4 linked regions of the Tribolium castaneum genome follow. The protein of the gene in region 1 purifies or fractionates together with the protein of each later gene. This does not show direct contact. Links are inferred from orthologs where the notes say so. Each region holds a gene or a part of one and is shown on either strand. Other genes may lie near its edges. The genes, in order: Cpsf73, CstF64, Sym and Fip1.

What was found.
Region 2: the proteins of Cpsf73 (region 1) and CstF64 purify together in Homo sapiens (affinity purification with mass spectrometry; 3 studies listed by BioGRID and IntAct, with this or other methods). This does not show direct contact. The link is inferred for Tribolium castaneum from reciprocal best matches to the Homo sapiens genes CPSF3 and CSTF2.
Region 3: the proteins of Cpsf73 (region 1) and Sym fractionate together in Homo sapiens (co-fractionation; 6 studies listed by BioGRID and IntAct, with this or other methods). This does not show direct contact. The link is inferred for Tribolium castaneum from reciprocal best matches to the Homo sapiens genes CPSF3 and SYMPK.
Region 4: the proteins of Cpsf73 (region 1) and Fip1 purify together in Homo sapiens (affinity purification with mass spectrometry; 5 studies listed by BioGRID and IntAct, with this or other methods). This does not show direct contact. The link is inferred for Tribolium castaneum from reciprocal best matches to the Homo sapiens genes CPSF3 and FIP1L1.

The regions. Positions count from the first base shown.
Region 1 is NC_087396.1:20,616,657-20,624,334, reverse strand, and holds the start of Cpsf73 (cleavage and polyadenylation specificity factor 73), read right to left. Parts: upstream 4,326-7,678; 5' UTR 4,240-4,325; coding exon 4,169-4,239; intron 4,123-4,168; coding exon 4,059-4,122; intron 4,012-4,058; coding exon 3,914-4,011; intron 3,863-3,913; coding exon 3,734-3,862; intron 3,602-3,733; coding exon 3,424-3,601; intron 3,377-3,423; coding exon 3,287-3,376; intron 3,241-3,286; coding exon 2,914-3,240; intron 2,620-2,913; exon of another isoform or gene 2,476-2,619; coding exon of another isoform or gene 898-2,475; intron 845-897; exon of another isoform or gene 661-844; intron 191-660; exon of another isoform or gene 52-190; intron 4-51; exon of another isoform or gene 1-3. Other genes in the region: delta(24)-sterol reductase, read left to right, coding at 898-2,475; homer protein homolog 2, read right to left, coding at 5,543-5,728, 5,988-6,124, 6,336-6,520. UniProt on the Homo sapiens protein: Component of the cleavage and polyadenylation specificity factor (CPSF) complex that plays a key role in pre-mRNA 3'-end formation, recognizing the AAUAAA signal sequence and interacting with poly(A) polymerase and other factors to bring about cleavage and poly(A) addition.
Region 2 is NC_087400.1:318,781-325,922, reverse strand, and holds CstF64 (cleavage stimulation factor subunit 2 tau variant), read left to right. Parts: upstream 1-2,661; 5' UTR 2,662-2,864; coding exon 2,865-2,916; intron 2,917-2,966; coding exon 2,967-3,045; intron 3,046-3,090; coding exon 3,091-3,514; intron 3,515-3,563; coding exon 3,564-3,747; intron 3,748-3,803; coding exon 3,804-3,933; intron 3,934-3,981; coding exon 3,982-4,011; intron 4,012-4,066; coding exon 4,067-4,155; intron 4,156-4,204; coding exon 4,205-4,455; 3' UTR 4,456-4,551; downstream 4,552-7,142. Other genes in the region: APC4 (anaphase-promoting complex subunit 4), read right to left, coding at 1-818, 1,274-1,993, 2,040-2,200, 2,262-2,390, 2,436-2,547; WD and tetratricopeptide repeats protein 1, read right to left, coding at 4,719-4,895, 5,107-5,303, 5,353-5,711, 5,767-5,876, 5,923-6,216, 6,267-6,447, 6,494-6,687, 6,734-6,845 and 1 more. UniProt on the Homo sapiens protein: One of the multiple factors required for polyadenylation and 3'-end cleavage of mammalian pre-mRNAs. This subunit is directly involved in the binding to pre-mRNAs.
Region 3 is NC_087398.1:8,154,738-8,162,401, forward strand, and holds Sym (symplekin), read left to right. Parts: upstream 1-2,677; 5' UTR 2,678-2,825; coding exon 2,826-2,864; intron 2,865-2,914; coding exon 2,915-3,111; intron 3,112-3,155; coding exon 3,156-3,545; intron 3,546-3,592; coding exon 3,593-3,879; intron 3,880-3,927; coding exon 3,928-4,388; intron 4,389-4,742; coding exon 4,743-5,858; intron 5,859-5,909; coding exon 5,910-6,107; intron 6,108-6,157; coding exon 6,158-6,316; intron 6,317-6,370; coding exon 6,371-6,649; intron 6,650-6,798; coding exon 6,799-6,855; 3' UTR 6,856-6,917; downstream 6,918-7,664. Other genes in the region: GRIP and coiled-coil domain-containing protein 2-like, read right to left, coding at 1-2,504; Ccdc39 (coiled-coil domain-containing protein 39), read right to left, coding at 6,932-7,237, 7,286-7,476. UniProt on the Homo sapiens protein: Scaffold protein that functions as a component of a multimolecular complex involved in histone mRNA 3'-end processing. Specific component of the tight junction (TJ) plaque, but might not be an exclusively junctional component. May have a house-keeping rule.
Region 4 is NC_087398.1:1,029,598-1,036,287, reverse strand, and holds Fip1 (pre-mRNA 3'-end-processing factor FIP1), read right to left. Parts: upstream 4,214-6,690; 5' UTR 4,200-4,213; coding exon 4,056-4,199; intron 4,009-4,055; coding exon 3,566-4,008; intron 3,516-3,565; coding exon 3,275-3,515; intron 3,229-3,274; coding exon 3,054-3,228; intron 3,007-3,053; coding exon 2,717-3,006; 3' UTR 2,620-2,716; downstream 1-2,619. Other genes in the region: RpS8 (small ribosomal subunit protein eS8), read left to right, coding at 4,433-4,436, 4,762-5,144, 5,306-5,435, 5,632-5,741; Karybeta3 (importin-5), read right to left, coding at 6,207-6,424, 6,471-6,690.

The sequences.
Region 1 (7,678 bases):
ACTGTAAGATTTGTGGAAATTTTTTTCAGTGCTATCGCTTGTTCGTTTCAGATGATAGCTGCCATAACCACTTACGTTATTATATTAGTTCAGTTTCATATCTAATCTTTCTATAGTACAACGGTTTTAATAAAACATTAAATTAACAATAAACTTTACAAAAAATTCAAAATTTACGTCTATTAATGTAACAGTCTGACATTTCTGACAACTACTGTCATGGGTCTCCAAAAATTAAACTTTACAAAAAATTCAAAATTTACGTCTATTAATGTAACAGTCTGACATTTCTGACAACTACTGTCATGGGTCTCCAAAAATTAAACAAGTATTTTTTATCTAGTCTTTTGTGACTTTTGTATATTTGGTTGCGTACATTAGGCGGAGGCCTTGTACAGTTATAGATATTAAACGTTGTGTATATTTTTTAATGAGAACACGAAAGTATTTCGACTGTTTACCCAATTTATTAAAAAAAGTTATTTTAATTCGAAGACATACACACAAAAAATGTTGTAGATATTGCACTGTACTGTAAAAATAAATAAAAATATGTAAGAACAGTGTAGTTATTACATAATTTGCTCAAAAATTTACAAAAATATCTAAATACAAGCGAGAATTAGTCGCTCGTGCCCTCGTGCTATGTAAAGAAAGTAAAGGAGATATTTCATAACTTTCCACCCACATAAGAAAACAAACAAACATGCGATTAATTCAAATGCAAACGACAAAAGGTGAAAGGTCAATTTTTTAATCAATTTATAAATAAATTATCAATCGTCTCAAGTGTTGTAAATACCGATAAACCACATCGCAACAGAGTTAATCAACTCTTCCAAAAGTGAGGTTAGAAACTGTTTTTTCCCTCAATTTTGCAAAATTATTTATTTCCAGATGGGCCGCCTCGTCGAATTCCTCGAAACCCACCGAGGCCTCGTCGTCCTCTTCTTCTGCCTCCCCGCCAGCTACATTTTCAACCTCTTCCTAACAATCCGCAAAACCCTCCACCGGTTTTTCTTCAGCAGCCCCACAAACCACGATTCGCGCGTCCGCGCGATCCAGAAACAAATCCAACAATGGAACAAAATCCCCAAAGACGAACGAAAACTTCTATGTACAGCGCGCCCCAACTGGCTAAGCCTCTCCACCACCTTCTACCGCAAAGACCTGTGCCACAAAATCAACGTCGATCTGTTCGACATTCTGCAATTGGATGAACACAATCTGACCGTGCGGGTCGAACCCATGGTCACTGTGGGCGAAATCACGCAATTTTTAATTCCGCGGGGGTTCACCCTAGCTGTGACACTTGAAATTGCCGACGCCACGCTCGGGGGGCTCGCGCTGGGCACCGGCATGACGACGCACTCACACAAAGTGGGGCTGTACCACGAAACGGTGGTTTCGTACGAGGTGGTTTTGCACGATGGGAGTCTTGTCAGGGCTGCGAAGAACGAAAACGCTGATCTTTATAAAACCCTGCCGTGGTCACACGGCAGTCTGGGGTTTCTTGTAGCCTTAACCTTGAGACTTGTGAAAGTCAAGCCCTTTATCAAAATGAATTATATTCCGGTCGAAGGGAAGAAAAACTACTGTGATATGATCAGGTTATTGTCAGGCGATAGTGGCGATTATCCCACTGAAGATTACGTGGAAGCGACTATTTATAGCCCTGAAAGGGCCGTAATAATGACAGGGTCTTACTCCGACTATGACCCAAACCTGCCGATAAACCACGTAAATCGCTGGTACAAACCGTGGTTTTACAAATACGTGGAAACATTCCTCAAAAAAGGCAAACACACAGAGTTGATCCCTTTACGGGAGTATTTACTGCGCCACAACCGGGCCATTTTCTGGGTCGTTGAATCAATGATCCCCTTCGGCAACAACCCCCTTTTCCGCCTATTCTTCGGCTGGTTGTTGCCCCCAAAGCCAGCATTCCTCAAATTCACGACAACCCCCGGCGTACGAGTTTACACTTTCACAAGACAAGTGTTCCAAGACATTGTCCTACCAATTCGCAAACTTGAGGATCAAATCGATAAATCGGACGAACTTTTCGACGCCTATCCACTTCTGGTCTACCCATGTCGGGTTTATGACAGAGGACCGGCTTCCGGTCAGTTGAAAGCGCCCCGGAAGGAGTATATCGTTGAGGGGACCGATTATGCAATGTACAACGATTTGGGGATTTATGGGGTGCCTGGGTATGTGAAACGCAAGGAGCGGTATAATCCTGTTTATGCGATGAGGGAGATGGAGAAGTTTACGCGTGATATTGGGGGTTTTTCGTTCTTGTATGCCGATATTTTCATGACTAGGGAAGAGTTTGAGGAAATGTTTGACTTGACGTTGTATGAGAAAGTGCGGAGGAAGTATGGGGCCGAGGGGTCGTTCCCACATCTTTACGATAAGGTCAAGCCGGAAATCGATGTGTTCGAAGTGGGGCAACGATTCGAAATCAAGTGAAAATGGCATACAAGTATTTTTCTACGATTAAAAATGTATTATTGGTTGCGTATTCATAACTATTTGTTAATCCAGTTTTTATTTTTTTATGCATATTTTACTGAAATAATATATTCTATTACGTAATAAATTATTTTTTCCATATTCCAAGCGTACTGGATAAGTTATAACCGCACCGAACCGATTTTATTAATTTTATTACACTCACACGATGTCTTGATAAGTTTCAAGTCCGTAAAAATAAACTACATTTTTTTGTACGTTTATGCATTCGTTTTTTATAACAATTTGATAAAAAACGCAGACAGAATTTACGAATTATTCATAATACGATTATTAGCTCAGTGATCATTGCATTAATTATAGTCTACTCAAGTTATGGTTCTCATTGCCAACTTGGTAATAAAATTTTCTATACTCACAGCTACAAAAACTCACCTTCAAATTCGAGATGTGCTTGAACACGAACGGGTTGTTTATTGCGATTTGTCGCTTAATTTTGTCGTTCATGGCGTTGATGTAAGTCTGGTACACAGCCATACATTTCTTAGCCAATGAGGAAGCATAATAGATGGGAATATCGTGTAAATCTGGATGTTGGCTCCAATACTCATCCAAAATTAGAAGCAACTCCTGTGCCCGTCCTAATGCAAAAACGGGGATCAAACAGCGACCGCCTCTGTTAACAATATCGTGAACTAGATTCGTAAAACGACTTTCACGTTCTTCGCGTTTTTCGTGAATGTGGGTACCGTAGGTAGATTCCTGTAATATTTTTTTGAATAAATGTTAGTCAAAATTTAAGTCGTACTGTAATTAGAACATCAGGGTGAACTGTTGGAATCTCCGCAGCCATTAAATGACGGTCTTCCTGACGCGAAAAATCGCCAGTGTATAAAATCTAAAACGAAATTTTCAATAAAGTTGTTTGAAATTTAAGTGTCGTACTTTAACGCCAGCTATCTCAATCATAAACATAGCGGCGCCCAAGACATGTCCCGCATTGTAAGCCCAGAATTTGATCCCCAAAACGTCTTTCTCTTCGTGGAAATTTATTGTCTCGATTTTGTCCATACTAGCCTCCAAGTCCGCCTCAGTGTAGAGCATCTGTTCGGTTGCAATGTTGCTGCAAATTCGAACACATTTCCGATCAAAGTAGGTCAAGGGCCAGTTTAAAAACATAAATCTTATTTTTTTTTAATAATAATTACGGAGAACTACCAGAAATTTTTTTCGCCCTTATTAAGTCACAATTTACCTGACTTTCACATAATCTGACAATAACCACCGATAAATCGCCTTGGTGGCGTGGGTCATAAAGCAGCGACCCTTGAAACTCGTTTTTTGCAAAAACCAGGGCAAAGCCCCACAATGGTCCAGGTGAAAACTGGAATTTCACGTTACAGTTATTAATGTACGAAAAAAAAATGTTTCGTACTGTGATATTAGCAACAAATCGATTTCGTCGGCTTCAATTAAATCAACGAAAGGCAACGCATCCATGCCTGAGAGCCCAGGATGGATTCCACAATCAAGCTACAAGTTTAAAGTCTTATAAACGAATAAAAATCGATCAAACTGACCATAATTTTTTTCCCTTTAAATTCAAGCATTATGCAAGACCGTCCCACTTCCTGACCGGCACCCCTACAAGACAGTGTTAACACAAAATTGTAATTTTTGGAATAATTACAGTGGCCTAATGGTCAAAAGGTCGCTTTCTTCGGCTGGGACTTGGGAATCGGGTTTGCGTTTATTGGACATGATTTCCAAAGCCAAAAACTTTATTTTTTATGCAGCTTTCATGATACACATAACCTAAAAAAATCACTTTCGAAATCGGGGGAATTTTAGGTTTTGAGGTTGGTACAAAATTTAAATTCAAATCAACACGTTTTTCCACCTTGCTGTCTCCCTTAGACCTTATCATACACACCTAAAATGTGCCTGAATTCTGGGTGTTTTGGGGGTTTCACACAAAAAGTCACTTTTTTAATAATCATCTATTTCTACAAACAAAATCGCCTAATACATTTTGGTCTTGCATTATACAGAAATAAAAAATTGGAAACAGTTTTGCTTCATTATAACAATCTCAACATAATAATAATCAGCTCATCCTATTATTAGAACAAATCTCCGCCTATAGTACAAGTGCAATATGTTTATAGCACTGACTTCTAATGGTACAGTATTGAGAAATTTCCATTATTATCGTTATTGTTGCTTTGAAAGTCACGTTAAAAACGTGCTTGAAAGACATTTCTTCTATATAATTATAACAACGCGCTAAACGTCTCTCAAGCAATTCTTTTTCAACCAAATAAAATATAAATAAACAAAAAATCTTGTAATAATACGTGTGCATTGTCAGCTTAGTGTTTGGCTACGAAGAACCCTATTTCACAATGGCAACATAAAGTAATTCGCTACGTTTTTATGAGGACTTATTTTGATTCAAATGATAACGTAAAATAAATAATCAGTCAATCTCGATGATGAAATGAAACCTAAAATAAATGTGCGCTCGGTAATAGTAACAAAATTAACGCATCACAATAATAAAACACAAAACCCATGATATGTTAATTCTGCAACTATTAACAAAATACTGAAAGCTGCACGACAGTACGCATTGTTACGTATAAAACGCTTTGATACTTGAAAATCCTACAATTAAATGGCATTTACACAACCAAAAATCGCAGCTGAATAAAACAGCTTCCTTAATCCGTGAAGGAAAGAAAGGAAAAAAAATAGACGGCGCCACTTTAATCAAGGAAGCTGCAGAATAAAATAACTTTTGTTCGTTTTGGCCTTTGGACGCGAGTCCGGACACATCACAATTTCAATAAATGCATGGACATTAGACAACCTAATAAATTGTGCGGTGGCACTTTGTAAATAAATAAAGTATAAAGTTTATAACCGATAGTACGTACGTTATGAATATTATATTTTTCGAGACATTCATAGTTATAGACCTAAGCAAGATATTACACGGACCCTATACATATGCAATATAAATGCGTTCGCGTACATTACGATGCTATCTGTCTTCAAGCTCTCACGTCTGCAAAGCCGTGGTGATTTCGTCGTGGATCGTTGCTAGTTCTTGTACTCGCGACGCCAGCTGCGAATTCAGCGTGAGGAGGATTTGGCGCTGAGATTCGTGGGCGCTGAGAGCGATGTCCAGCTCGGATTGGGCCAATTTTGCCGTCGCCTGGAGCTCCTGGTTTTCCTTCTGCAACGCCTGCGGGAAAATCACAGTTTTTCAAAGAATTTTTTTTTCACAAAGTAACAGATCATTTTTTTGTGTACGGGAAAATTGAAAAGCAAATTTGAGAAATACTACAAATACTTCTAGTTGCCCAAAAGAAAAAAATATGTGACAAACGAAAGTTTCTAACTCGCTTCATTTCGATGCTTTAAAGTTACCCCAAATTTTTAAGATATGAGCGTAGAATGCAAGAAAAACTAAATTTTTATTTTTTCCAAATTTTTGACTTTACCTGAATATCCGACGGTTTCTGGAAAGCCAACTGCTTGAATTCGCTATTTTTGGCGTCCAGCTCGGCCTCCATCTGTTCGAGGCGAATTCGCAGACTTTGAATTTCTTGGCGCAGTTCATCGGCAATGTCGCCGCCACCTGATCAATAAACAAAACTCTCAATTGTTCTAGTTGTGGGAGAAAACGAAACCGCGTGTCAAATAAACTAGATGCAATAATTATTATCATTTGATTGCTTTCCCATTTACCATATTGCAGAAATGCAATTTGCCATATGTTGCCGACTTTAAGCACCGATTCTTATGCAATTATTACACCGATTTGAATAAACAATTGACAGCCAACTCACCTTTACTATTTTCCAAATCTGCTTGATACTTCGCTTTCATTCGCATATTTTCTTCCTTAAGACTTGCCAATTGTCGTTTCCACTCATCGACGTTTGCCGTGCTTTCTTGAAGTGCACTTGTTAGTCTTGCATTGTTGCTCTTTAACGTGGCCAACTCGATTTCCCATTTTTTAGCATTGGCCGAACTGAAACCATCAATCAGACAAAACGTTTTACTAAATATTAGCACTACTAATCCAATTTCATAACTCTTCCCATATTTAGTTTGCTAAATGGGGCGGAAATAATAACAATCACGTAATATTTATTAGAACATTATTAGTGAAACTGGAAACAATTAAGCAACAACTTCACATCCTTATCCCCAGGCGAAAAACTCGAGATTTTATCGCTTCTTTGCCAACCGGAAGGAAAATGCAATTTTCATCGAATTTAGGAAATGCACTGCGAAAATTAATGTTCCCCTTAATATCGAATTAATAAACAATTACGTAACGGCGCTTGGTGAAGCAGAACGCATATTTTTTCCGTCCGTAACTGGGCTCCTGTCAATGTTCTCGTTTAATAAAAACCTATTATTTTTATTATATAAATTAATGTACCATTTCATGAATTTGCAAAGTACGGCTTTCTTTAGCATAAAAATTCAATAAAAAACGCAAATGTATGGATATTAATGCACAAAGACCCTAATTGCATTCTTTATTGTTATTTAATACCGAAATTGCAAATATTCGGCGTAATGAAAAAATCGTAGCAAAGAACGGTTCAACAGAAGTATTGTTTTTTGTTTTCATAATTGCAATTAAAGCGAGTATGTGTATATTAGCTCTGAATTTAATTATTCACGCACAATTTCTTTACAAAACCCAATTACATTCATTAGTTTATTCACGTTTTATTTACACTTTCGTGAACGTTGTGCAAATTGTTGCAAGATCAAAGATAGGTTCCCGATAATCTGCATCTTGCCAAACACGAAAAACGTTATTTTAAGCAAAAAATTGAAAAACCCGGCACATGTTTGCCGAATTTTTAGTAATTTTTCCATCAATCACAACTTCAGAATGTTTTATAGAATAGTTACTCCATATTAAGATCAATGTAAGTTTTTAGTCACTTTACTTTTTCGTTGGTTTAAAAATTCAAAAATGGCACAGGCCTCTGACGGACTGTGTAATTTATGTGTGCTTATCGATCAAAAAAGCGTAACAGTTTCACTTTTTCTGACGATATGCGAACCTATAATTTATTGCGTCTCGAATGCAACAAGGCAAATCAGCAACGTTTTTTCGCAACGGACGAAAAACCGAACCGATGCAACAACGTCAGAGAAAGTGAGG
Region 2 (7,142 bases), on another chromosome or scaffold:
TCCAAAACGCCACCTATCGGTATCTGACTTAAAACTGTAGCTTTAGAAACGGTGTTTTCTTGCAATAAAACCGACAATACTGCACTCGAATATAGTTTAATATCGATCACGTGATAATTATCCTCGGAATTGTCACGGGGGAAGTACAGACGCGCACACTTTATGAAACAATTGCCATCGTCTAGATACACCTGCAGGCCTAGAACGGTCTCAGGCGGCTGCAAGTAACAAAAAAGAATCGATTCTTTGTTTAAGTTGACTTGGGACGTCCGTAACGAATCGCCGCAAAATTGGAAACAATTGAAGTCATTCAAATGACTGAACTGCCTACTAATTTGCTCTCTAGGTGTCGCGAAAATCGCATCGACGCTTTGCTTCAAATGCTTGTACTGTTGTATCAGCGACATCTCTTTGAAGTGCCTCAAAATGGAACTATTTTTTTCGATGCATTGGTTCTGGGCCAAAAAATCAGTCCATTCGTTCCCGGACATGTCTGGTTGGATCGTCAAATTGCCATCGCTTAAATATTGCCCCAACCGCTCCATAATGAACCCCTTTTGTTTGTTATTCCGACTGATGTGGTCAAAGTTTTGCAAAAATTCGGTGATGTAAGCCAGGTCTTGCTGAGTCATTTTGGGGATTTCGTTCGGTATTGGCTCATCCAGAACGTGCATTATTGCCGTGTAGAGCCAGCGGAAGAAGGCCTTGTAATTGATGATGGAGTGATTGATGATTTGCTGCATTTCGCTGCCTTTGATCAAGAAGGCGCCGTTCGAGGAAATGGCGCCGGTAATGGCGGCCGCGTCCAAACCCAAAACCTACAATCACCCAATCACCATTTTTTACACTAATAACTTCTTTTCAATTGAAACGCGTCCTAAACGTGGGAGCGAAAAGCCGAAAAAGGCGTTTTAAAGCCGTCAGGGGTTTCCCCGAATATTTTGGACTTTTTTCACGTAGTATTTGCTCGATTTTAAACTAAATATTTATTTATTTTGCCAGATAGTATTTTGTTCGTTTAAAAAATCAGACACTATATTCGTTTCAAAGCAAACCTGATTGATATTTGTTTGTTTCACTCAATGTAGCTTGTTGCGTAAAATTTCGTCTAAAATACGCCTGTTTTTTAACTATTTCTCAGACTTTGAAATTATCGAACTAAATGTGATTTTTCCATTTTTGTGCATTTTTGATGGTTTTTCTTGCCAAGTTCACACAAAATTAAATTTTAATTTTTTTGTTGAGTTGGCAGCCACCACACACTTGTACCAACCTTATAGCGGTGTTCCAGTCTTGCCATCCCCCTCATTTCGGCCAAGTGATAGGTAACATTCTGCCCAAACTTCATCACATACTTCAGCATCAACTTCTGAATGTTGGAATAACTCATCTCAATCGTCTGCCCGAACTTCTCCAACCCTTTCTTCGTTAAATCGTGTATGAGAAAGGTCTTCATCTCATCCGAGCAAATTCCAAACGTCAGCAAATCCAAAAAATCAGCCGTGACGCCCCCTTCTGGCACCTTGCTCGCATATTTCGACAACTTGTTGTCCATCTCCAGCAAAATGCTCTCCCAGGACTCGGTGATGGTGGTAATAGTGTTGGAGAGATAGGTCACCAGTGAGGTCAATTTTATGTGTTTGAGGGCCAAAGCGAACAGTTCGTTTGTGTGCGTTTTGAAAATTTCCGAATCGAAACAAATCAATTTAACGTTGTTTTCGTTGTCTCGCACTGTGAAAAACATGCGGTTCAGGTCCTCGTTCAAATGCATGTTCTGGATGGAGCAAAGACAGTTGAGAGTTTGCTTCAAGTCAAGGGAAGCGCACGGGAAACAACCGAAAACTCGCACGTGCACGGTGCCCTCACTTGTCCCAATCAGGAGCAAATTAAAGTCGGTTTGCTCTTGCAAAATGTTGGTTTTCTGACCATCGTCGTTGTTGGGGGAATCGAACTGTTGTAGCACCGGTTCGGGCAAAAAATTACCCGATAAGTCCTACAACTGGGAAATTAAACGAGCACTAACATTCGGGTTTTTTTACAATGTGTTTCATGTACTGATTCTGTTTACTGTCTTCGTCAACTGAAGGCAGTTTCCCTTTAACAGTCCGGTCTTGCAACCAATTGAGACATGAAACTTCGCCCTTGATGTCAATAGTGTGCAACACCGACTTATTCTCGACCTTCACAAGCAGTATTTGGCCTGAAATTGCACAAAACAATGGATTTAAATTATTTCCAATACTTTTTTTACAATATTTTACCAGAACTGTACGCAATTGCTATGATTTTGCCGTCAGGCCTCCAGGCAATACTTGTGACCTTTAACCCATCCTTGGGGGCACTGAGACTCCACGCTTTGGTCCAAGTGAGTCGATGAAGAGCCACCTCTCCTACAAAGACACCCAAAAATGCCGGTTACTGCAAATGGGGGTTACCTTTGATATTGGCAAGAGCGACAAGGTCCATACGGTCGCTCCACACCATTTGAACAATCTCACTGGCCACATTGCGCTCTTCGAGCTGTTTAATCGCCTGAACTGTGCTCATTTTCCAACAATTAGTAACAAAAAACAATTTTCAAATTGTAAGGTTACGTTTAATTCTGTCATGGGTACCAACTGTGCGTCTGGACCCGATTTGCTTTATTTAGCCAAATGTGCACAAACAGGCCTAGTCAGGCGTTACGATTCACTTTAGGGTTGTAACCACAATAGATAAACCAACATTTTTGTTATTGTTGGCTTTAAAATGCATAATTTTGTACTTTTTTAAAAGGTAGAGGGTTGGTAACGCTGACCGTTTGTTGAAATTGGTGTCCCAGGTGTCTTGATTACTTCGTTCCAAGTTGGAATTAAACAATCACCATGGATAATTTAGAAGCAAATATCATGGACAAGTCAATGCGTTCGGTCTTTGGTACAAATTATTTAAATTTTAAGTGATAATTATAACCCCATTGCTTCCAGTGGGCAACATCCCCTACGAAGCCACCGAAGAGAAGCTCAAAGACATTTTCGGCGAAGTAGGCCAGGTCCTGTCATTCAAGTACGTTGCCCTGCCCCCTGAAGCCCCCTAACGCCTGAATTTTAGGTTGGTTTTCGACCGCGAGACAGGCAAGCCCAAAGGCTACGGCTTCTGCGAGTACCGCGACCAGGAGACGGCGCTCAGCGCCATGCGCAACCTCAACGGGTACGAGATCGGGGGGCGCAACCTCCGGGTCGACAACGCCTGTACCGAGAAATCGCGCATGGAGATGCAAAACTTGCTGAACCAGCCCCCGGTCGAGAACCCCTACGGCGAGCCGATTCAGGCCGAGAAGGCCCCCGAGGCCATCAGCAAAGCCGTGGCCTCGTTGCCCCCCGAGCAGATGTTCGAGTTGATGAAGCAGATGAAGCTCTGCATTCAGAACAACCCCACTGAGGCCAGGCAGATGCTGCTGCAGAACCCCCAGTTGGCGTACGCTCTGCTGCAGGCGCAGGTGGTTATGAGGATTATTGACCCGCATACGGCGGCTGTGAGTTGGGGGTTTGGGGGCGTATTTATATTTTATTGGGGGGTTTTAGACAATGTTGCATCCGCAAAATCCCGTTCCTTCGTCTTTGACGCCCAAGGAAAAGACTAATCCAGGCCCCATTCCGATTAACAGTAATTATGTCTCGAATCCCACGCCTGTGCAGCCCCCAAGACAGGACTTTCAGCCGGTGCCAGCCCCCGCGATTCATAATAATTCCAATCCGGTCTTCACAGGTGATTTTTTTTATCACAATTGATTATAAATAATAATAATGTTTGCGTTATTGCAGGTCAAGACGTTGATCTAAGATCACTGGACCCCCGAGGGGCTGATCCTCGCCTCAGCCGCCTGGGCGACCAGGACATGCGCACTTTGCCCGGACAACTCCCCAACCCCCTTCCGCCGCCACTTGTCGAAAAGTAAGTAAAATAATTCAACCTTGAGCCCTTTTACTCAAATTTAAACAGTTTCACTAAGCAGGATCAGAAATTGGAAAGGTAAATAACCATTTACAATTGATTAGAAATACAATTTACTGATACTTTTTCTTAGCTTTAATAGGGACCCACGTGGAGGTCCGGCCAACTTCCCATCTGATCCGAGACAACAACAGCGAGCTGACCCAAGACAGAAAAATATGCGTATGTGTGAAGTACGTAATTGAATTGGTTGTTGAAAGTCTGATTTTAGCCCCTCAGCAAAACGCGATGCCTCCGCAGCCGGTCAGAGCCCCGCAGGGGCCCCCCAGTACCCCCCAAGTTCGCCAAGCTGCCAATGTTGCTTCAAGTATAGGTACAGCTGGGGCCTCAGACCAGGAAAAGGCGGCCCTGATTATGCAAGTCCTGCAATTGTCAGATGAGCAGATTGCAATGCTGCCACCTGAACAGCGTAATAGTATTCTAGTTTTGAAGGAACAAATCGCCAAAAGTGCACACCGTTGATTAATTAAGTCATTTCCCCAAATCAGTTTAATTTTTACAGTTTACATGATAATTAAAAAATCTTTAAAATTATTAACATAAACACTATTTACAGTATTGTGTATATATCATTTAAAAATCAACAACAAAAACGCACCCTCTAGAAAGTACAAAATAAATGAGCGATTCCTTCGGTTGTTTACGATTAAATTGTAAACAAGAGGTGGATTTATTCGTTTGCAACTTTCAGTTACAAATCTGGTTGTAATGGTTTTGTTAAAAAATTAGCTAGTTCGGCACGTTGGTACTTCTTGAATGGACGATCCGTCTAAAGCGCTTCCTTCGATCTGGTAACCCATGCTCGCCAACATTGATTCGAATGGGTCCATTGACATGCGATGCTGATTTGTTTCGACTACAGTGGAGATGCATTTGACGATTCGGTTGTTCACTTTGCCGTCCTAAATAAACGACAACGGAAACTCCAACATTAATAAAATTAATAGAAAAAAGTTACTATATTTCGGAGAAAAATTTCCGATCAAGTGACTAAGTTATCCGTTTTCGAAAAATCATACTAGCCTTTTTTTTGGAACCTTTATCGAATTAAAAAAAAGCCGTAATGTAGAGTGGCCAACTTAATTTCAAAGTGAGACCAGCAATTGTGCTTACCTCAGGCCGAGGCGACCATATTTTAACGGCCGTATCAATCCCGCTGGACGCTATAACACAGGCACTAGGGTGTGGTTGAATGCAATTAACTATCGAGTTATCTCCAAAGAGAGCCCTAACCACATTCATACTCTTCTTATCCCAGATAAAAATGATCCCTTCGTCCGATCCTGCACAAATATAATTATCACAATCACCTGAAAGCCGCCGTGAAAAAACCAACACTCTACAACCACCACAAACAACCTAAAAAATTCGCCTCCTTGATATCAGTCGTGGTATTACAATGCCCTATGTAAATCTTCTCAAAATCGAACGAATCCAAACGTAACTTTTTCTCATCATCTTCCACCTTCTTCACTCCCGTCTCCTCAAACTTGACGCTGTTTTTGAGCGCTTGCAACTCCTCAACGAGGAATTTCACCTGCGAGGAGGTTTCACATTCGGGGTAAAGTTTTGTAAAGTGTTTCAACCAAGCGTTGGCTTCGTCTTCCCACTTCATGGCAATTAGGCATTTGATTAATCCAATGTAAGCCTGTTTATGGTCCGGCCAATGCTGAATCACGTGTAAATAATCACGTGCTGCCGCATACAAATCGCCCATCCTAACAAGAAAAAAAAAATTAACAAGCCTTTTTTTTTGGCTATTTGTCTCAATACCACTTGCGTTGGTACGCCTGTAGCGCCCGCCTCATGTAAAAGCAGGCACAGTCCGTGTTTTTCTCAAACAAGTCGGCGCTGACCCCGTTAAGTTCAGCCAACAGTACGTTCTAAAAAAAATTGCATTTTCCTAGTAGTGACTGGGGGGATAATTACCGGTTGGCAACAATTCCGGTAGGGTTGATGGGGCCGTTTAGGTAAGTTTTGGGGGATTTTGAGTTCGTTAATGTGTCGGCTATTATTTACATCAAATAAATAAATCTGTTCACCCCCGATATTTACCAACATTTCTGAACCGGCGGAATTGAACGCGATATAAGTGACTGATAGTTTGATGCTCATAATGCCGGCATTTTCGCGTGCCAGGTGCCCGGGGGCGTAGTATTGCACACAGTCGCTGTTTTGGGGCTGCGGGGACGTCCTCTTCGACGGATTAAACGACAAATTCGCCTGAAAACCCAAAAAATGCAAGTTTTTCCCCAACATTTTACCTATTTTACCATTGATACTTTGATCATCCTCCTGTCATACAAGCGCACGAAGCAGTCGTTGGCGCCTATTGCGATATAGTGCGATTTTGTGGGATTCACAGCAATGCATTTGATTTCCGATTTGAAGCTTAGGTCGACTAAGACCTTGCTTTGCGTGGGACACTCGTGGGGTTCCCGCAAGTCGTATTGCCTGCAAGTGAGTTAAGGTGTTTGGTTGGGCAAAACAGTTGCCTTACACAACTAGGCCATCTTCGCCCGCTGACCAGAACAGAGTAGGCTGGTCGGGGGCCGTGGCCAGGCGTTTGACCCGGCCGATGTGGCACGCGCAGTCCAGCAAGGGGGCGCTCTTGTCGAGGGCCCCCGACACGCTCTGGACCACCACTCGGCAATCCCCGGCCGCCGTCGCGATGACATTTTCGTCGGCTAAAAACTGCAAAAACGCTCAGATTCGGTGCCAAAATGATCGGGTTGTTTACTTTAACGGAAAAGATATTGCCAATGTGTGGGGTCGGGATCACGTTTATTTGCTTGTGTCTGAAGGGGTCCCAGAGGATGACGTTGGTGTCGTCGGAGCCGGACGCCAGGTGCCTGCGAGTGAACGGTCAGTTGCTGCAAGGGGCTAAAGGCACTTACAGTCCGTTGGGGCTCCATTCCAGGCAGTTGACGCAGCCCTGGTGCCCCTCAAGCTCCGCCTCGAGTCCTAACCTCTGGATGAAATTGGCGCTGAATTGGGTGCGCTGTTTGAGGACTTTTGCTGCGGTGCTGTTCAGTTCCCGGCATTGCATCAACTTTAACACGTTACGGTTGCTTTTCCATCCTTTTATTTTGTTTTCCATCTGATTGAAGAGTCGCTATCAGGATCAATGTTTGCTGCAAGGTCAACAG
Region 3 (7,664 bases), on another chromosome or scaffold:
TCAAGGGAATTTTTCGTTTGTTGGTGGTACTCGCTCTCGGCCTTGAGCGCCTGTTCTTTGGCCTCCAAGTCCGAGGTGAGTTTGGCGATTTTGGCCTCGTATTCCTTCTTCAAAACCTTATTCGCTTCGAGTTCCTTTCTAAACGTCGAAACTTTGCCGCTTATTTGCTTCTTCCAGGCTTCAGTCGTGACTTTCTCTTGGTTTAACTCTTCCAATTCTTTCTTGAGTATGGTGATTATCTCCTCGTTTTCGCTCAGTTTTTGCTTATCTTTGGAAACTTCAGCAAGGGTCGAATCCAATCGGGCGGAATATTCCTTTATTTGTTTTTTGTTTTCGTCCAATTCGTCTTGTAATTTATCGCACTGGGCTTGCAAAGTTGCGATGGTTTTCACGTTACTGGCACATTTTTGCTGAATATCGTTCTTCTCGTTTTGCTCCTTCACCAATTCGTTGGACAAGTCACGAACTTTCCCTTTCAGTTTCACGGCCAAGTTTCGTAGTTTTCCGTATCTTTCCTCCCAAGACCCTTCCAGATCTTTCATTCTGTTTGATTCCTCCGTTCTTGAAATTGTCGACGTGGACATGCACTCGCTATCGGCGTAACTTGAATCAAGATTCGAGTTTAACCGTTCTTTCAAATTCTCAATTTCGTTTTTCAAATCACTGATTTCGGAGGTGTTTGAGTTTAAGTCACTCGTGGCTTTAAGTCGCTCGATTTCGTCTTCAAGTTTTTTAATTATTTCCTCCTTTTGGGATATGTTGTCAACGTTTTTGTTGGCTTGTGTCTCATACAATTGCAATTTTTTCATAACTTCTTCGCAGTGAGATTGCAATTTGGAAATAGTCTCTCCTCTTTCTTTCAGTGCTTGATTCATTTCGTTCATTTCGGCCAAAAGTTCGGAATTTTCTCTCTTCAAACCTGACACGACTTCTTCCAGTTCGCTGTTTGTTGAATCCTCAGTTTGGCATTCCACTTGTTTGCAGTTATCACGGGTGGTTTGCAATTTTCGGTTCATTTCCACCAACTGGGCATTTTCTTGAACTAGTTTAAGTATTTCTTCACTGGTTTTATCAGCAATTTGCCTCTCCGTTTCTTTTGAATGTTCAAGTGCTTCTTGAAGACTGTAATTCTTCTGCTTCGCATCATTTAGCTCCCTCAAGTTTAAATCTAGATCCTCCTCCAGCTTGGAGATGACTTTTCGGTATTCAATGCAAATTTTTTCATTTTCTTCGATTCTGTTCTTGATCTCAATTGTGTCTTTCTTGCTTTGGTCGTCAAAAACTTTGATTTCTTCCTGATGTCTTTCCTCCAATTGAGACAAATTCTCAAGCAGACTCTCCTTTTCAACAGTGAGCGTTTCAACAGTTTGCTGGTAGTCAAGTTGAAGTTGTAACAATCTTTGATTTTCTTCAATCAATTTCTTATGTTCTTTGGAAATTCTCTCAAACTCGCCAAGTTCTTTACTTTTCTCGTCGTCGGTTTTATGTGCCTCAAGTTGTTTCAGATATTTTGCATTACTTTCTTTCAAACCTTCAATTTCCTTGTGATATTCAGAGTTCTGTACTTTGATATCACTAATTTCTTGGCACAACTTTTTTGAAGCTACACCCAACTGTTCTTTCCATTCTTCCACTTGATGTGAGTACGTTTTGAGCAAACGCAAAACCTCGTTTTTATTTTCCTTCAAAACCTTCACATTACCGGCCAGTTTTACAACTTTTGAGTGATAAAATTTCAGTCTCCCTTTAAGTTTCTCAACCAACTCCACATTTTCTCTTGTTTCATTTTTGATTTTTTCTAAATCCTCGACCAATTTCAATTTTTCCTGCAACTCTTGGCCTATCGTTAAAATGTTCTTATCCTTCTCCCCCAGATTCGTCTTGAGCACGTCAATTTTCTCCCTCATTGTGTTATTCTCAGCTTGCAACTTCTTAACTTCCTCTAAACTAATACTAAGCATCTTCTGCAACTCTGCAGACTTATCACTTGTGTCATCACTCCGTAACTTTTGATTCGCCTCTTCCAACATCAGCAGCTGATTTTGCTGTTCAAGTCCCAGGTTTTTGCACTCTTCGAGTTGCTTTTCCAGAGACTCCAGATGCGTAATCAGCTGCTCATTTTCATCCGTCAAACGCTTGATTTGCCTTTTATACGAAATATTCTCGCTTTCAAGCCTATCCTTCTCCTCACACAGACGTGCGTCTTGCGTGCAGTTTTGCACTTTATTCACCAAAGCGGCATTTTGGCTCTTCAAGTCTTCAATCGTGGTAACAAACTGCAACTTCTGTTGGGTCAAATTTTCGATAATTGCAGTTGTGGCATCTCCAGATTCCGATTTTAGCCTATTTTTCAGCTCGTTATTTTCCTCCTGGAGCGCGTCCTTCGCCTGTTTGGCCTTCTGGGCGAGAATCAAAAGCCGTTCGCACCGTTTAACCAATTCCTCTTTCGATAAATTCTCCAAAACGATTTTCTTGCCACTTTCGGATGGCGTATTCGATTCCATCTCGATAGTTACTTAATCTATTGTATTGTAATTTCCAAGTAATTAGCAATTACATTGTATTTTAATAATTTTTTATTATTTTGACACATCAATAGTATTTTGACAGCAAAAGTCGCCAACAAAAAGCGGAAAAGTTACTGTTTTTTGGTAACATGTTCACGTCACTTCTGCCATAACCTCAATCTTTGGCTTTCCAAAAATGGATGATTGGCTCTCATTTTCAATTAATTTAACGCTTTAGATAAAACTAGCTTTGTTTTCGAAATTTCGTTGCTTTAGTGGCAACAATTGCGTCATTTTTGGTTGTAAAATCCTCTCGACATGGATTTTACCATGAACGAAGTTTCCGACGAGGATTTAGTAAAAAACCGAGATTTAGTTGATTTCGGTAGTAAAGAGACGCGTTTTAGGTGACCCAATGGATAAATAGCGCTGCAGTGTCCCGCTCTGCTGCAGAAAAGCTTGAATACTTCCACAAATTGCAAGAAGTTTTGATTCGGAAGTCGCCCCATTTGCTGCCAAAGTTTTTACAAAACATGCTTAATTTCACGACTGATAGGAATGGGGACGTGAAAAAAGCGCTAGTGGGTTTTATTGAAGAGTTATGGTAGGTTTTATGCATTTTAATTGGTTACTTAACTTTTGTTTTAGCAAAATGCGCGAGTCTCTTTTACCTAAAGTAATGCTAAACCTTCATATGCTACTATGTGATGAGTCAATAGCGGTGCAAAAGCGCGTAATTCAAGCTTTAATCAGTATTTATCGCAAAACGTTGGCCTGGTTATGCAAGGCTTCTGTAATTACAGAAGAAATGGAAAACGCCTGGAAGCAATTGTCTGCCATAAAATTAGAAATTGCAAATATGATTGATAGTGACAATGACGGCATTAGGACTAGTTCAGTGAAATTTTTAGAATGTGTTGTGTTGTTGCAAACTTATCCCGACCAGGAAGAGAACAAGAAACCGAACGACTTCTCACTCGATGATGTTCCTCTGACGTTAAAATTGGCGCGGAGGCGAAAACTAGAAGAGGAAGCAAAGTATTTATTTTTTTTTAAATTCGCAAATTTCTAATTGAATTTTTTAGTACCTTGTTTGAGTTACTTTTAAAATTTTTTGGCTCTCCCCATATTAGCAGTGCCAACTTGTTAACCTGCCTGGGCGTTGTTACAAACATTGCAAAAAATCGGGCCGAATTTATGTCTCGAGTTGTCTCAGCTATTGAATCACTTTACAATAACCTACCTCCAACTCTAACAACAACTCAAGTGAATTCCGTGCGTAAAAAATTAAAATCCGAACTCGCTGGACTTATCAAACACCCAGCGGCTTACGAATTTGTGGAGAAATTAACCCCAATGCTCACCGATTTAGGTGCGTTTTATTTTTACGCAAAAAAATTTTTTAGGATTTTTTTCTCAGGTTATTCCCAGCAAGACATTCTTAAAATGGTACCGAAACCCGACGAGCGGCGGAAATATTGCAAGAGGACTCTCTCAGTTGAGTCCCTTCAGATCTACAATAAAAGACCTAGACTTGATCCTCAAATTGAATTCGATAACGACACCAATGACAGTGATTCGCAAACACTGCAAGAGTTGAATGAGAACTTTGTGTCTGAAAATTTCACGTTGGAAAGAGCGGTTCAAATGGTTTTCGCTTCTATGAGTAAACTGCCGGCTACAATGTCTCCCGATTTTGCGAAAGAGTATGGCAAATATGTCGATAGTGGAAAAGTTGGCCAATTTGATGTTTTGACAAAACTTATTGCCACGTATTTGACTGAGGCCGGGGTTTCGCCGTCTTCGAAAAGTTTTGCAAAAAAGGTCGAGGAATTTAGACAGCAGGAGAAGGAGGAAGAGGACAAGGAAGAGAAGGAAAAGGTAAGAAAACAATTTTTGCACACAAATAATATAATAATAAGTAAAACAGAAACAGTAATTTGCAATTCAGATTTCACATTTTCAGCTGTATTTAAGAAAAGATAAGATGTAATTCATTGTACCAAATATTTGTCTATTTATTTATTTATTTATTTATGTATTTATCTTTATCTGTTAGCTTATGTTGGTTCGGATGATTTGAGAAGTTATGTATCACGCATCCTGTATTTTTTTTAAGTTATGTTTTGATAACTTATCGTAATTGTGAGGTCAAAGAAATTTTAGTAATTATTCTTAAAAAAAAATATAATGAAGCCTCTATTTGTTTTACAACATGTTTTACACATTTGGTAGCTCCTGAAGAAGGAACGAGCAAAAGTTCCCCGAATCAAGACACTGAAACTGTCCGAAATCACCAAACCTATCGAGAAAGAAACAAAGGAGAAATTGTTAATAGGGTCCATAAACCGACTTTTAACCGCGGACAAAACAGCCGCAAAATGCTTGTACCAAAAACTAATCACCACAATCGCAGCCTGCTTTAGCCCCACTGTCAGACAAACAGTGTTGGCGTTTCTCCTATCAGACTTACGGTCTCACATAGACCTGGCCCTGGCGTGGCTTTTTGAAGAGTACGGAATACTGCAGGGCTTCTCAAGAGTGCCCCCTTTACGCAAAGACACCAAACTGGACAAAAGCTACAACATCTTGCTTTGCACATTTATAAACGCTTGTATGCACGACTCAGCAGTGCTCTGTCGATTGTTTTTGGAAGCGCCTTTAATAACAGACGAGGCTTTGGATAAGCTCCACCAGTTGTGCCGAGACGAGAAGAAATGCACAGCAGCTTTGGGGTTGTTGCACGATTTGACGGTCCGGAAGCCCCCCAAACAGTTGATGTTCCTCAACGCCCTCCTCTCGTACACGACGTACGAATTGAGCGTGGTAAGAGAGTGTGCCATTGGACACGTTTTGGAGTTGCACAAGAAGGTGGAGTTGAGGTTGGTGATTGAGGAGTTTGCACGAATGAATTTGGAGTTTTTGAAGTTGCAAAGGCCGCCGGAGAGTTTGTGTGGGTTTAGTCAAGGGAGGTTGAAGAGCGAGACTTGGGGCGATGATTTTATAAAAGCTTGTCTTATTCCGTATATTTCGCTATTGCCAGCCAATGAGAGTCTTATTCATGACTTGGCTAAGGTTTACGTACAGACGGGGGCCAACATTAAACGGATTATTCTACGTCTGCTTGAAACCCCGATCAGATCAATGGGGATGGACTCACCTGAGCTTCTAAAACTGGTGGAGGAGTGTCCCAAAGGCTCGGAAACTTTGGTCACGCGTGTTATACACGTTTTGACGGACAAGGGCCCCCCGAGTGCACAGTTGGTGCAAAGAGTCAGGGAATTGTATCACACGAGAGTGTCAGATGTTAGGTTTCTTATCCCAGTTTTGAACGGGTTATCAAAGAAAGAAGTAATGAGGTCGAGCGTCGTTTGTACTTTTGACTAATTTGTACAATTGTAGGTAATTGCAGCTTTGCCAAAGCTAATTAAATTGAACCCGGTTGTTGTAAGGGAAGTCTTTAACCGACTTTTAGGCTTACATGGTGACAGTCCAATTACCCCAACTGAACTTTTGGTCGCTCTACATTTAATTGATTCCACGAAAGCCGACTTGAAAACTATAATTAAGGCCACATCTATGTGTCTTCAGGAAAAACAAGTACGAATTATTTTCGCACCGAATATATTTCTCAAATTACCAAATTCCAGGTATTTACTCAAGAAGTATTAGCTGTTGTTTTGCAACAGTTAATGGACCAAACCCCGCTACCAACTCTACTCATGAGGACTGTCATCCAAGCTTTGGGCAGTTATCCCCGACTGTCAGGGTTCGTGATGAATATTTTGCAACGTCTGATCTTAAAACAGGTTCTGTCGTATTACAAAAAAAAAATAATCAATATTTTTTGTTGCTTTTTGAAGGTTTGGAAACAGAAAGTGGTATGGGAGGGATTTATCAAATGTTGTCAAAGAACAAAACCGCAAAGTTTTACTGTTTTGATGCAATTACCACCGCCCCAACTATCTGATGCGTTGTCAATTTGTCCCGAGTTGAGGGAACCGCTCAAAGAGCATTTGCTGAATTTTACTGAAGGGCAAAGGTCGCACATCCCGCCCACAGTCCAGGAAATCATTTTAGGAAGTTACGCACAGCCGCCACCAACGATTGTTCCGCCACCGGTGGTTGTAACTCCAGAAGAGGTAAGTCCTAGTGACTTTTAATACTATTTAAAATAGTTGAGATCGAAACTGTAATCAATTAAAAAGGCTTTGTTGGGTGGAACTGTTTTAGTTGCAGCTTAATCAGCAGTTCCAATTTTCTGCGGTTTTTTAGACAATTTTTTTTTCAGCCGATTGCTGCGCCCCCGACATTAGCCAACGAGCCTTTGCCGCCCGGAATGGAATAAGCGTTAATTTAACTTTTATTATCTCAATTTTATTAACAAATGAATAAAAAACCTTACTTTAATTGTGTATTTTTACCTACATTTGGAATGTAATTGAGACTTTTGAAATTGCGGAACTTTTCGTCGAACTGGACTCAGATTTGACGCTTTTAACGTCAGAAACGTCTTTTTCTTGATTACAAGAACTGCTGGACGTAGACCTTGTTGATTCTGAGCAGGCACACAAGGAGGCAATTGTGCGTTTTTCGGGTAATTTGACGTCATATTCGAGCGTGTAACGAGTAATCAGCGGTGCCATTTCTTGATAACGTATAGACATTTCCACCAAACGCTGCATAGCACTGAGATTAGCTTCCTTCAATTGGCGGATTTCCAAGTCTCTCTGAAAAGATAAACAAATAATAATTGGAAAAAATGTAAATAAACTTACGTCATATTTTTCACGTTCCTTGTGACGAACTTTCTTTTGTGCGAGTTTTAAACAACGTTCAGCTCTTTTGAGCTTTTCTTCTTTCTCAGAGCTTTCTTTCTCAGTTTTTAAGTACTCTTCCTCCAAGTCGAAAAGTGCGTCTTTGGCTTGATCGCGTTTTATTTCAAGCTCTTTTAGTGCATTTTGTACTTCTACGAATAATAAACGATGTTAGAACGTTTGTGTTGCATTTTGAATTTTTGTATTGTGAGTGAAAAACGGTAAATATTATAAAATAATTAATAAAACAACATTAAGTGACAGTAAGTTTTTTTGTTTACACTGTTTATCTGCGATAGTTTTTTTTTTCTTATGATTGAACGTAATTATGTAATTAAAG
Region 4 (6,690 bases), on another chromosome or scaffold:
CAAGAAGTACAGACAAACCCAATTAAATATAATTACATATTTGTTTATGTAAATATTTAAGCGAGATAACACAAAACGACTCCCAACTTGTATCAACTGTTTAAAGAATAATTATTCCACTGGAATCAATGGTAACGTTGACAATTTTCCAAATGTTTGACTAAGCACTTTGTTGTTTGCTACAAATTTGTCGTGTCTGTGTTGTTGTTTAAACAATAAATTCGCAGAGTAAATAAATAAATTGTATTTGTCGCGAGTCCACAACCTCTGTCTTTATGACGAACTTAAACGTAGTTCATACAAGACCAAAAAATTCTAGTAGAGAGATGCAAAAATAATGAGCCATAAAAGCGTATTTTATGAAAAATAAACGCTTTATTGTTCGTTTGATTATTATTTGAGTGGTAGTTTCCGAATTAATTTTAGATTGTTGAGCACACAAACCAATTTCTTGTGCTAAAAATTTATTATTGTTATTTTCGTTACTTGCCCAAGTGATTGATTTGACCATTCCACAACAAATACAAACACTAACAAATAACCATTAAAACCTACATTTCTGATTGTTCTCCACGATCAAACAACACAAAAATGTTAAGTTACTAAACGTGTATTTCTGTTCGATATCACAATGGTGGGTAGAAAACAATAAACAATCGCTGATACTTCTTGGTCTGTAATTGGAATTATCTTTTATAATAAGTCGTGTTAGCAATCACGTGGATTTAATGTCCATGTAACGCATACACACAAACAATGCAAGAACAGCAGAAAAAAGCAGCGCAGATAAAAAATACGCTGTTTTTAATGTAAAAATGCACAACAATAGTAAACCAAAAGACGTTTTCAACTCTGAACGAATTGAGTTATCATTCTAGACCGGAAAAACCTCTTTACCTCATTGATAAGAGGCAGCAGCTCAGTTTTCCGTAGTCAACTGCTGATAGGTAAAAAACGAATTTACATGTGACGTAGTCCAGTCTCAATTGCCAGATATGAAAATTAAACCTTATCACATTTTTTTGCATCAACACTGATAAAGTTCTTAAAATAAAGCAGGTTTATATAATTTTTTGACCTTTAATTAAGAAAATAATTGTGTAATTTTAGTGTAACGTTTTTAATTAATTGCCCAGTGGGGAAAATACGATTTGGCCAATGGCCAAAGTTGGAAATGGATGACAAAATAAATACCGATTTAAGCCAATTTTTGGATAAATAAACATCAAATGTTATTGTTATTGCAATAGATTTTCACAGAAATATAGAAGGTCTGCTGATATTTATTATCCCCTGTGTGACTATATCCGGGACATGATCATTATAAATCGACTCTTTCGCACCCTTTGTAATCCACAAGTGAATATAAAAAATGCCACTCTCACAAAACAATTAGTTGCATAACACGCGAATCTTTCGCAGGATAATCTAAACAATTTATCTCCGGTTTTAGTCACAAAGGGGCAAAACTTAAAAGCTTTCAAGAATTGGAGCTCTACATCGCCAAGTCATGTCGAGTTCCTCCTCTGAATATCAATTAGCCGTCATTTGAGCAACGAATCGATTACCGAGTGGAGTTTTTCACCGTCCGTCCGTTTGCAAAAAATGTGCACATGTTGTAGATGATGAACGATTTTCGGTAAGCACCCTCATAAAAGCCGCAGGGTGTAATTATTTTCCGAAACCTTTAACATACCGAAAAACCGATTAATCTTCGCCGAAAGGAAGCAACCAAAAAACATTTATCAAAGCAAGAGAGAGTTTAGCGCTTCATCAAAAGCAAATGCTTGCAACAAGGGGTGTCCGCCCCCATCTGACCTTGACCCTAAACAGCTGAATATCAGGAAACAGTGCCTGGCAACACTACAACTACGAGAAAAACACACAAATAACTTACACAAAAACCTGCAAAAAGGTGAACTTGAGGCTTGAGCCGCCACTCGAGAGATACCTTACGACTTATTGTTTGACACAAAGAACTAGTGCGACATTGACAAACATGCTATCAAGTTGCTTTTGTAATTTGATTGTTTAAGCAAAAAACGTGTCAGGGGGGAAGCCGACTTACATTTTCGGGGGGGTTCTCGGCCACGGCTAGCGCTGAAAGGGGCTGCTTGACACACTTTTATTTCGGAACACACATCGAGACACTCACTTGGCTGTCTTTGGGGCTATTATCACGGTTTTAATTGATGGAAATGAAAATCTCACTGCGGCTGTTTCATTTCAGGTTAACGCGATTTTTCAATTACATCGCTGCGGAAACCGGTGCTTTCGCTCGGATTTTCACATATTGTTCAACAATTTGGTTATTTCATACGCACTGTACCAAAATAATCGATATTTAGGAGAGTATTCTTGCGAACGTACACAAACTCGGTTTAATTTTGACAGAAACCTCTCCTATTTTTGTATAGGCTAAAGTCTGCGCGTGCGTATAACCGGCATTGATTAATTTTTAAAGTCGGATTAACAATAATCATTGCATTATTAACTGTATCACCGGCTACAACGCATTAACTCGCGTTAATTAATAAATTGAACGGTGCCGGTACTTATTTATTTAGCTTAGAACAGTTGTAATTTTGCGTTGTCGGGTTGGTAGCAAAAAAACGACAGTTGACAAGAGATTGATTTATTTCAAAAAAATAAATACAAAAAAATGCTTGTAGGGTTAGATGAACCAAACTATACTTTATGCCTAATCATTAATCAACTAATCGCTTTCATCATGACGCCTTGACTTCTTTTTCCTGTGCCTATGACTGGGGCTCCTGGACCTTGACTTGTGCCTTCTCGACCTACTTCTTGACCTTTCCCTCCTGTGGGACCTCTCCCGTTCCCGATCCCTGGGCCTTTCAGACCTCGCCCTGCTGTCTTCCCTCGTCCTGTCCCGCTCTTTCGAGTCCATCCTAGTTGGGCTATCCTTCCTAGGTGATGGGACAGGCATTGGTAAGTTCATGGGTGGGCCCATGTGCATTGGAGGCGGCCCCAGCGGATTAGGACCTAAAGTCAGAGTTTTAGCATCAATGCCAATTTATAAGTAGCCGCACCTTCAGCCCCCCATTGCGAATCCTGCGTTGGTTCGTAGCCCCCATAAAAGGGCTCCGGTTCGGGGTTGAAACCGTACTCGGGCTGGAAATCCTCAAAAGTGTTGGGGGGCGGTACGGACATGTCTGGAAAACCGGTCGGTTTCCGGCTATACTCCCTCCTATCAGCGGTCATGACCTGAAAAAATGTTACAAAAAATTGGAGAGGGTGATGGGGGCTGCACCTGAATGACGTTCATTTTGGGGGGCTCCACCTTGCCGATGGGCGTGGGGGTGGATCTTTGCGCTGTGCCCCCTATTACGTCAATAGACCCCGTCATACGTCTCCCTGGAGGTGGCCCTGCTTTGCGCATTCCAAGGAAATTTCCTGAATATTTACTGTTATCGTTCATAATTGGAACTGTACCTCGTGCAATTGAAGTCATTTGTGCCGCCAACCCCACTCCCGACTCAGTCATTCTCATTCTATTAAAGTCATTAGTGTGATTTTTTCAATTGCATAATTAACAAATTACCGTTTTTGTCTTTCACAATACGCCCTCCATGTGTCTTCATTAAACCCGTAATTAAAATAATCAGTTATATCAGCACCAGGTTTCCGCCACGGTTTATCTTCCAAAGAATCTAAATTGTATTCAGTCGCAGGGACCCCATTTATCATTCCAGCTTGATCGAACTCCTCCACGCTAAATTTGCCGGGTTGTGGGGGCTGCTTGGACTTATCAACGGGGGCTGTGGTGGTCAGCAAACCGCTCCGTTTGATGTTAAGCGAAGTGTAAGACGGGGTTGTTTTAATATCCCCAATAACAACATTCACGTCATCGTCACTGTCGTCGTCCAAGTCCTCTTCTTCACCATTTTGCTGCACCTCTCCATCCTCTTGGTCTTCTTTCTCGTTGGCAGACTCTTTCTCGGGTTCATCGTCGTCAACTCCTGGTGGCTTGTCATCGTCAATAGGCTAAAAGTGCGGTTAGGAAACGTTTTCGGCGATTTCTCGTTAGGTACCTTCGGGGGAGGCACTGGTTCTGGCTCTTCGGGTTTCTCAGGCGGCTCTTCAACCGGGGGCGGGTCCGCTGGGGGCTCTTCGTGCGTATTTTCGGGCTGATCGCCGTATAACCATTGATCGTCGTTTTCAGCATCGTCCGCCATTTTGACATTTCAATTTCAAATTGCGGAAACGAAAATTTATAAAATTATTAAAGCCGTGATTTTGGTCATTTTTAATTAAATCGGCTTTAAAAGAACATTTAATTTAATTAAAGTGTAGTTATAAAGGATAAATGCGAATGAATTGCGGCAAAACTTGAGTCAAATCTAGGGATTTCGTCTTCACCTATTTAGTGACTTCCTGTTGTCTCACTCTTTCAGTTTATTTCATTGCAATGGGTGAGTACGTGCTTCGATATTTTTAGAAAATCTTCAATCATCCTTTGGTATTTCCCGAAATTATTGGTTTAAAATATTCTCCTTTTATTTCTTGATTAGAATATTGTGCGTTTGAACCCGTATTTTGGTCAGTTTTGTAGAGATATGGTAGGTTTTCGTGACATAACCTTAGTCTTGTTTTCACAATAACATGATGAGAAAAAGTTTAAAGTGTCCGATGTGTTGTGCTGACGACTCCAAACCATCCCACAGCGATCTGAATCAGTCCCTAATTACGCCCTTCATGTTGTTATTTTTTTGGGTCCTAAACATTGCCGTATTTCAGGTATCAGCAGAGACCATTGGCATAAGCGGCGGGCTACAGGAGGCAAAAGGAAGCCTCTCCGCAAGAAGAGGAAGTTCGAGTTGGGTCGTCCCGCTGCCAATACAAAGTTGGGGCCCCAAAGGATTCACTATGTGCGTACGCGTGGTGGCAACTTGAAATACAGAGCCTTGAGGTTAGATACCGGCAATTTTGCGTGGGGCAGCGAAGGCACTGCTCGCAAATCCCGTATTATTGACGTTGTTTACAACGCCAGCAACAATGAATTGGTTCGTACCAAGACTTTGGTAAAGAATGCGATTGTTGTTGTGGACGCCACCCCGTTCAGGCAGTGGTACGAAAGCCACTATATTTTGACTTTGGGACGCAAGAAGGGCGCGAAGTTGGTACGTATCACTTAACTAAAAATGCCCAACATTCCACTGTGATGAATTCTTGCGTGTCATATGAAATTTATGATTAAAAATTTCTTGCATTTGCTGACTATTTTCCAATTTTATGTGCCGGGACTTTCAAGTTTGATAACTAAAGTGTGATTTATTTACAGACGGCTGAGGAAGAAGCTATTTTAAATAAGAAACGTAGCAAAAAGGTGCAAAAGAAGTACGAAACTAGGCAAAAGACCGCGAAAGTTGAACCTGCCCTTGAAGAACAGTTCCAAACTGGCAGGCTTTTGGGTATGTGATGTTGAAATACTAACACGTTTCGTTACTTCCCTGATGAAAAAATTAAAGCGAGTTCAATTCTTAATGGAATTCGTTTTGAATTTCTTTTTGAGCGATGATTTGCTTGTCATAGTTACTCTGATTTTTCATTATCTCAACTAATATTCTTTAGTTAATTCATTGCGTTTAAATACGTTTTTTTTTCCAGCTTGTTTGGCGTCGCGACCTGGACAGTGTGGAAGGGCAGATGGCTATATCTTGGAAGGTAAAGAACTTGAATTTTACATGCGTAAGATTAAATCCAAGAAAGCCAAATAGTGTATTTTCTAATGGCTTTTAATAAAAGTTGACAACAATGTTTCTTATTAAAGTTTTGTCAATCCTTAAATATTATTCCCGCTCCATGTCCTTTTTCCACCAAACAGGAGGGAACATTCTTAGGGAAGGGAATAATCGTGGATGGCATTTTCAACAATAAAGTAGAGAAAATTACGATTTATTGAAGTGGCTTAACATCATGTCGATATTTTTCAATATATTTAAAAACACTAACAATCAAAAATATGTTCGTCCTCGATGCTATCCAAAATGAAGAGTATCACATACAGTCCAGAGTTGCAAAAGAAAAATATTTACATGCTGAAATATTTTAATCAGAATTTAGTTCTAAAAAATAATGGAAAAGATCTGATAAAATAACATTAATTATATAAAAATAATCAGCGACAACTCATTTGAAATTTTCCATCGAATTATAAAAAAGAATTTGCGAATAAAATTCAACTAAGATGGAGGCGGCGCATGAAGAGCAACGTGTAGAGCATGTTGCAATTCAGGTGCTAAAGTCTGTACTATACTTTGAAAGTAGGACTCGTTGGACTGCACCTGCCGCACAAGATTCACCATTCTGTATCCTTCCGGTTTACTCGGTTCAATCACTTCTCTGAAAAACGCCTCTGCGATTATTGTAACAATCCTAGGAATATTGGCATTTCCGGCACCTGAAACAACAATTACAAACAACCCCAAAAGTAATACCCAACCCACCTAAAACATGCGGATTGTTCTGCTCCACCAGATCACACAAATACCCATAAACATGGGGCGCCTCGTCCACCTCTTCGATAATAGGCAACCAACTAAACCACACCGGTAATATCTCATCCACATTGATTCCTTTCGGGTTGTATTTCATGATTTTGGTGACGGCAGCGACAGCATTCTCGGTCGCGTTAATATTCCTCGGTTCTTTCGCTTCCGAATCGTT